2 linked regions of the Mus musculus genome follow. The protein of the gene in region 2 interacts with the protein of the main gene of each other region in a biochemical or structural test. Links are inferred from orthologs where the notes say so. Each region holds a gene or a part of one and is shown on either strand. Other genes may lie near its edges. The genes, in order: Dapk1 and Klhl20.

Evidence for each region.
Region 1: the proteins of Klhl20 (region 2) and Dapk1 are reported together in a solved structure, tested with the Homo sapiens proteins (2 studies listed by BioGRID and IntAct, with this or other methods). The link is inferred for Mus musculus from reciprocal best matches to the Homo sapiens genes KLHL20 and DAPK1.

The regions. Positions count from the first base shown.
Region 1 is NC_000079.6:60,600,489-60,604,866, reverse strand, and holds the start of Dapk1 (death-associated protein kinase 1), read right to left. Parts: upstream 2,921-4,378; 5' UTR 2,757-2,920; intron 2,681-2,756; exon of another isoform or gene 2,608-2,680; intron 2,443-2,607; 5' UTR 2,333-2,442; coding exon 2,271-2,332; intron 1-2,270. UniProt on the Homo sapiens protein: Calcium/calmodulin-dependent serine/threonine kinase involved in multiple cellular signaling pathways that trigger cell survival, apoptosis, and autophagy.
Region 2 is NC_000067.6:161,093,404-161,097,216, forward strand, and holds part of Klhl20 (kelch-like protein 20), read right to left. Parts: intron 2,335-3,813; coding exon 2,126-2,334; intron 385-2,125; coding exon 278-384; intron 1-277. UniProt on the Homo sapiens protein: Substrate-specific adapter of a BCR (BTB-CUL3-RBX1) E3 ubiquitin-protein ligase complex involved in interferon response and anterograde Golgi to endosome transport.

The sequences.
Region 1 (4,378 bases), on a different chromosome or scaffold from region 2:
AGGTGTAGCCCTGTTGGAGTGGGTATATCACCATGGGTGTGGGCTATAAGACCCTCACCCTAGCTGCCTGGAGGTCAGTCTTCCCTTAGAAGTCTTCAGATAAAGATATAGAACTCTCAAGCTCCTCCTGCACCATGCTTGCCTGAAGGCTGCCATGTTCCTGCCTTGATGATAATGGACTGAACCTCGGAACCTGTAAGGCAGCCCTAATTAAATGTTGTCATTTGTAAGAGTTGCCTTGGTCATGGTGTCTGTTCACAGCAGTAAAACCCTAACTAAGACAACCCCGCATTCAGGCCACATACCTGTCTCTTTCCATTTCTCTGCCTGTGAGCCCCTCCCTCCACTCCCAGTCTTCCAGAGACATATGACATCACTCGTGCCGCATCTTCTCTGCCCGTGCCCCTCCCATCAGAGCTTCTTTGGCAGAAGTGATGATGTCCAAGACAGGATAAAACCACAGGTTGTGGGACATCCTTAGAAAAAGCCAACCTTTACCTGCTTCACATTTTGGCAAAATCAAGAGCAGCTATCACAATAGCTGTGCATTTTCTTTCTTAAAAATCCCAACTCCCAGTTACTCCAGAACACCTCTTCAAGATTCCTAGGTCGCATGAATTATTAAACAAACAACTCATCAATTAGTCTTTCATGGAGAATAGTTAGACACAGAAGCATAGACAAGAGCCAAAATCAGAGAGAAACATTAGTGACAAATGAGCGAACCGCCATCCCTGTCATTACAAGCTCGAAGTGAAGATCAAAAATCCACTTGCTAACCACAGGGACGCCCCACCCCCTCCCCTTTCTCTTAATCCATGGAAGAAGGATTTTAAGGGAAACAAAGTCGATGAATTTCATTCATAAAGCAATCAGCTCACCTAATTTTTTTCCCATCCCTTTTCGCAAGATCATTTCTAGAATGTGTTAACCTCACAGAAATGGTATCAAACCCTTTTTTCCCCACCCTTTTTTATTTTCTAAACACCCCCCACCCCCTCCACACACACATATTCATCTTGCTATAAACCATAGAAGGAGAGTGGCTGAATTCCAGTTAAATCAAGTATTTCAACCGCACACTCAACCTCAGTCTTCTCCATACCCACGAAATGTGATCTTTCAGAACCCTGCCTTTTATTTACTTACTAAGATTTAAGATAATAGTATTGTCTTCCTCTGCACAGGCTCCACCGATGCCTCCAGGCTACACTGAACTTACACACATCCTGTACAGTAACTCTTTAGACCTCTCTCTTTCCTGGGCTGTCTGGATTATTACAAAGTTTTGGTTAGATATCTTTCAAAATCCTATTAGGTAATAGGTCTTCCCCCCCACCCCCACCCCCACCCCTTTTCAGTTCCCTGCCCATGAATTAAAAAAGAAGCTTGGTATGAGGCCATGGGGTATATATGGAAAAATACAAACTTCAATACACACTCTGTGTGAGTAATTGCAAGTACGTTTGTTTATAAGCCCGTTTGCCTGCTTCTGTCACAATGCCAATACACAAATTTCACAAGACAAATTTTAAATCTAGGTATGAACACTGGGCTCTCTGCGCACACAGCAGAGATCAATACACTCGGTGGGCTAATGGATACCCAGCACTCGTCAAGGGCTCCCAGTGAAATCTTCTTTGTGCACCTAGACACTGACACACTCTGCTCAGCATCGCACCCCCCACAGCGTGTTGGTACGCTCTGAATCTAGACAGCCGCCATAAATGACACCGAAGCCACCACTAACCAAGCCGGGAATTAAATTCCTGGTTGGAAGAAGTTTCAAAATCCAAGGCCAACATCTGGCAAGTTCCACGCCTGCCTACCAATCCTGGCTGGTGTTGCACTGAAAATTAGCACAAGGGGAGAGAATTGTTTAAGTGCCCATTAATTAACTTGTACGCCGCTTAAAACACACATGGGTGGTCCCTCCAGTTGCAGTTAGAATCTTTGCGTTTGCCTCATTGTCTCAAAAGGGTGAAGGCTGACAGGAGTTAGTAGTGCACACAATGAAGTCTGTTCTTATCCAGGGATTCTGACCATACCCTGTGCACAGTAACTGCACTGTGGGTTGCCTCTCCACCCCTCAGATCAGGCAGTTTATTCATGGTCCCTGGCTTTAGCTGGTTAGGCACCGGTTCCTCTGCTATCCGCCCATCTCAGAGAAGGGCCAGTCAGGGACATGCCCGGTTTAAGCAGCATCTGTTTATCGCGCAGTGCCCCCCACCACACACACACCGCGCGCTTCCGTCACCCCTTCCTGGTACCTGCCCAGTTCCTCGCCGGTGTCGTAGTAGTCGTCCACGTTTTCCTGCCTGAACACAGTCATGATAGACTGTCACGCCTCACCAAAGCCCAGGCCACTCCGGCTCCGCGGCCCGAACCATCCCCACCGCCGCCTCGCTGCTGCGAGCCCCTCATGCACCAAGCCGCAGACCTCTGAAAGACATGGGGAGAAGAATGAGACGGTAAACTCTAAAAAATCGGGGTCCCAGGGGCTGGGTCCCGATCTCGAGGCCTCCCGCGGGCAGGGGCCACGCGCCCTTTGTTAAGTCTAGGCTGGGGGACCCCCACACCCCGCATTGCCGCGCCCCAGCCCCGTGCCTGCGGTTCCCGGGCTCCTGCCTCCGCCTCCGGACAACGTGGGGACAGCTCGGGGAAGGGACACAAAGCGCCCTGCCCCGCCACCTGTTCCCCCGCCCGGCGCCCCGGCCGCCCTCCCGCTCCTCCCACTGCCTGCGGCGGCCACTCACCCGGTCCCGCAGCTGTCGCTTCGTGCGCCCTGAGCCCCGCGGCGGGTCCAGGTCCCCGGCAGCTCCGAGCGGCCTCCGCTCCTTGCGTCGGGCGCAGCTCGGCCCCGCGGGGACGCAGCCACCACCTCCTCCGCGCCCTCCTCCTCCGCTGCGCTCGCGGCTCCTCCCGGTCCGCGCTCCCGCCCCGCCGCGCGCACCCCGCACACACCCACTCGCCCGCACCGAGCGCGCGCCCCACCTGTGACTCGGCGCCCGGCTGCCCTCTGCCGCCCGCTTCGAAGAAGCCGGAGGCTTTCGTCCTCTCAGAGTGTGAACCCAAGGATCCGTGTGGGCCAGGCGACGTGCTCCGTGCCTGGAAAACCACAAAAAAAAAAAAAAAAAAAAAAAAAAAAATAGAGCAGAAATCAATAAAGTCCTGCCCCGGAGGCGCCCACACCCCGATGGAAACGATAGCAAACAAATAGCTTATAAATGAGGTCGCTCTGTTCTTCTGTGTTGACAACAAAAACCGAGAGAGGACAGCAGGGGCCTCATCAGAGGGGGCGTCTCCCGCCGCTTGTTTTGAGCTGAGATGTCTGAGATCCAGGGAGAAAAAGGTTGAACTATCACAGGCTGTCAGTACTGTGGTTGCTCAACTGAAACACAGCGAGTCCAGCTTGAGCTGTATTAAGCTTTCAATACACACCAGACACTGTTTAAGACTGTGTTAAAAAAAAAAAAAAAAAAAAAAAAAGAACGAAAATCGCCGTATGTGTGTCTTTATATTAGCTACATGTCAAAATGATGGTGCTTTGGACCTATCGGGTTAAATAAAACTTTATTAAAATAGTTACACTCGCTTTGTTTTGTTTGCTTGTTTGTTTTACAGTCAGAACAGTAGCCATTTACCTTGCATTGGATTGCTGAGGACTGGCCAGTCTGCGCAGACACTCTGGGTCCACCCGTGAAACCATTATGTCTCTCTCCCCGTGCTCCTGACTTAATAAAGTTCCTAAAGGGGATTCTATCCTGCTGCCTAGAATCGCCAAGGTTCATCCGTGAACCTGCCAAGAGTTCATATCCACACCACTGCTCAAACTCTCCATTCAACAGATATTTTCAACCGTGGAGGCTTGGGCCTAAAAGAACAAAGAGAAGCAAAAGAATGTATCAGATCCTAATCTTAACTCCGTCTCCAGCTAGGAGTGGTAGCACACACCTGTAATTCCAGCACATGGGTGAAGAAAACAGGAAGATCAGGAGCTTAAGGCCAGCCTCAGCTGTAGGAAAAGTTGAAGGTGAGGCTGGAGTACGCATCTCCAAACAAACACAAACAGCAAAAAGGTATTCCTAACGGCCCAAGGAAAGAGTCCAGCGGGCACGATAGAAGAAGGAGATTAGAATGTGCCACTGGCCTAAGTGCTAAGATGGAGAGTCAATACAAGAAGATCTTGAGAATTGACAAATACAATAAAAATAACAACAGCAACCAAAAACAACAACAACCAAATAAATAGAAGGGTGATTTACTTGGGAAGCATGCAAATAAATACATCTGCCAAAAAAAAAGAAGAAGAAGAAAGAAAGAAAAACACGGCGTAACTTATTTTCCAAGGCCACTGAAAGGGCTGGATCTACTCAGG
Region 2 (3,813 bases):
TTCCAGGACAGCCAGGGCTACACAGAGAAACCCTGTCTCGAAAAACCAAAAACCAAAACAAAAAAAAAGATGGTTATTAGAAGAACTTAGGAATATTTTTATCAGATACTTTAGAATAACCAAGTTAAAATGTATCATCATATCTGGGTTACTTCAGTTTCCTTCAGGAAACCACGTGAGGATGTAAGTTGGCTATCCCACTTTTGGTGGTCAGGATCTTTCTCAAGCCCATGACTTCAAGTTAGAAATGAGAAGACTTGAAAAGTCTAAAGGTTACCTCCACGTATTGGCATCTGGGTCAAAAACTTCAATGGTCTTCAAGTATGTTGTGCCATCAAAGCCCCCCACTGCCATAAGCTGTCCATTGACCACGGCCAGGCCGACCTGTGGGAGCAAAGCACAGTGGCTGCTGAGAGCCGAGAAAGCCGCGGGGAATTCACAGTCTCTAGGGAGACGCTCAGATCGCTTAGATTCCACTTTGCATGACGCCAGGGAGAAAAGGGAGCAGTACTCCATGAACGATGGGAACATCAGGTTAGGCCTTTTATTAACATATGCGCCTAAGCAGAGTCAGATGCATCTGTAAAGTGTAGAGAACCACTCACTTGGCACGAACAAGAACCTCCAACCTGCTCTCACTTCTGGTTTGCCCACTCTAATCCACTTTCTAAATTGCTACTAAAATATTATTAAAAACATGAACATAAACATATCACTCCTGTTCAGAAACTTCTTTCTTTTTTTTTTGTATTACTGCTTTTTTTTTTAAAGATTTATTTTATTACTATATCTAAGTACACTGTAGCTGTCTTCAGACATACCAGAAGAGGGCATCAGATCTTATTAAGGATGGTTGTGAGCCACCATGTGGTTGCTGGGATTTGAACTCATGACCTTTGGAAGAGCAGTCAGTGCTCTTACCCACTGAGCCATCTCTCCAGCCCCTGTTCAGAAACTTCTAAGCCTCCATTCTGCCTAAGACAGGTTTTAGGTCTGTAATGTTACTCAAGCTTTTAGAAATCTGGCCACCACGTTTGGCCTTGCCTCCTACATTTCCCCCTCTCCTAATGAACTCTGTGCTTTTGGAATGCTGGACTGTTAGTCTCCGAATCAGTATGCAGGGCTGAGTAACTCATGTGCATTAAGCCCATTCCCCCACGTCCTTCTGTCACATACAGCACTCCACAGCACATCCTTACTGTAGACACTGTAAACATTTCAGTCTCCTTCACCATAACAAGAATTCTATAGACATTTGCCTTCTAAGTAAGTGAAGATGGAATCAAGTGGACAGTGGGAATCACAGGGATAGATCTGAAAGCTGTCAGTTCCCAGGAATAAATAGAGACACAGAACACACGACTCTTCCCCTTGAGCCTTGATGTACGCAAACCAGAACTTGCTCCTTTTTATCCTTAGATTAGGGAGGGAGTCTCTCGGTGCAGTCTGCTTCTCTTTCCTTTGAGTATGTGTCCTACACTGATGGACTCCTGCCACAATCAATGCTTAATGGGTTAGGGTTCATTGAGACAAACATTCCCAAAGGTGAATTTTATGTTCCATTTGGACATCTCTTTAGTGACCAGACATTCATTTGTGGTTGAGACCATGACAACAGGTCAGCCAGATGTGGCCTACATTATAGATGGGGCAGACTCTCAAACCACCTTTGGAAGACGCGTAGAAGGGCCAGGTATGCTTTACTGTTTGTATCAGTATACGAAGTCTACTTGAAAAAATTAGCTAGGAATACCATACAGGAATAGTTAATGCTATTTTACGTAAGTTAGATAGGGGATGATATAGGAAAGATACTGTCCAGCGAAGTGGCTGGTAAAAGGTAAATAAAAAAAATAGTGTATACAATTACATATATGAATGAATAGAAAATATTTAGCTACTGGAGCTAAAAGCAATCAAAAGAAATACAAGCTTTTTGGGTTTTGTTTTTTTCTGTTTTGCCTAAAAGCGTCTTGACAGCTGAGACGCTGGAAATACAGCACATGGACAGCAGCCCTTCACCGCGCAGTGTCCTAGTGCAGCTTACAGCTTAGAGAATTCCTTTTACACACCCCCTCTCAGTGCTTGCCTGCAAAGCTCAAAGCTCCCAGTAGCTGGCACTTACTCCACTCCTGCGGGATGTCATGGCCACCACGGGAGACCACTGGTTAGTTCTGGGGTTGTATCTCTCAGCACTGCTAAGCTCTGTAGTGTCGTCTCTCCCTCCCACTGCATAGATCATGTCCTGGTACACCGCACAGCCTAGGTGTTTTCTTCGGGTCCCCATAGGCGCTATGGTGTGCCATCTGTTTTCCTGAGGATTGTAGCGCTCCACTGCAGTGAAGACAAAGATCAGTAAGTAAGAACAAACCTGCTTCCTTCTTCATAGCCACTCCAACGGCCAAGACACCTACTTTTCAGTAAATAATCTGATCAGGAAACAGTTTCTTTTTTTTTTAATTTGATATTTTCTTCATTTACATTTCAAATGCTATCCCAAAAGTCCCCTATACCCTACCCCCTTACATTTCAAATGCTATCCCAAAAGTCCCCTATACCCTACCCCCACGCTGCTCCCCTCCCCACCCACTCCCACTTCTTGGCCCTGGTGTTTCCCTGTACTGGGGCATATAAAGTTTGCTAGACCAAGGGGCCTTTCTTCCCAATGATGGCCGACTAGGCCATCTTCTGATACATATGTAGCTAGAGACATGAGCTCTGGGGGTACTGGTTAGTTCATATTGTTGTTCCACCTATAGGGTTGCAGACCCCTGCAGCTCTTGGGTACTTTCTCTAGCTCCTACATTGGGGGCCAGTTTCTTACAGTCATCTTCTAAGGAACTGGCATGTGTTAACTTCTAGTTGTGGCTACATAACTAGTTATATGCACTTTCCTTATCTTCTAGTAGGGTGGAACTTGATTATGACTTAAAAGAATGGTTTAGTATTAAAAATTCATTGTTATAGTTAGACAGGTTTTTTACTTTTATTTTTCTCATATAATTTATTTGATTATTTATTCATGTTTTGTTCTTTTTTTTAGATGGAGTCTTGCTCTGTGGTGCTAGCCTAGAACTCACTATGTAGCCCGGCCTCAAACTCATGATCGATCCTTCTGTCTTTGTCTCCCAAGTGCTGGGATTAGTGGCGTGCTCGCCCATGCTGTTTGCCTAGTGTCTTCTGAGCCACCGAAGATACATAACAATGAATCTCATGGTGTGCCACTGACAATATCCTTAGATAAAAATAGCTATTATGTCTAGACCAGTGATTCTCAACCTGTGGATCATGACTCCTTTGGGGGGGTGTGTGTCACACATCAGTTATTTGCATTGCGATTCATAACAGTTATGAAGTAGTAATTAATTTTATGGTTGGGGGGTCACCACAACATGAGGAATTGTATTAAAGGATTGCTGCATTAGGAAGTTTGAGAACCACTGGTCTAGATAGAAAAGGCAAAGAAGCTTGTAGCTCTAAGGTTTTACTTATTCTTATATTAAAAGAATTCTTTTTCTACTGAGGAGAGGTGGTGATTATGGGAGGTAGGGAACTCACTCTATTTAGAAAGTAGAGTTTTGCTTTGTTTTTTAAACTGTGGCCCTATTTGTTTGTTTACTTATTTACTTATCTATCTTCTTTGCCCTCATGTGTGTATATGCACGATGTGCATGCCTGGTGTCTTCAGCAGAACCCTGGGGCTGCAGGTGCAGATGGCTGTAAGGCACCTGGGGCTGCAGGTGCAGATGGCTGTAAGGCACCTATGGGTGCAGGTGCAGATGGCTGTAAGGCACCTGTGGGTGCAGGTGCAGA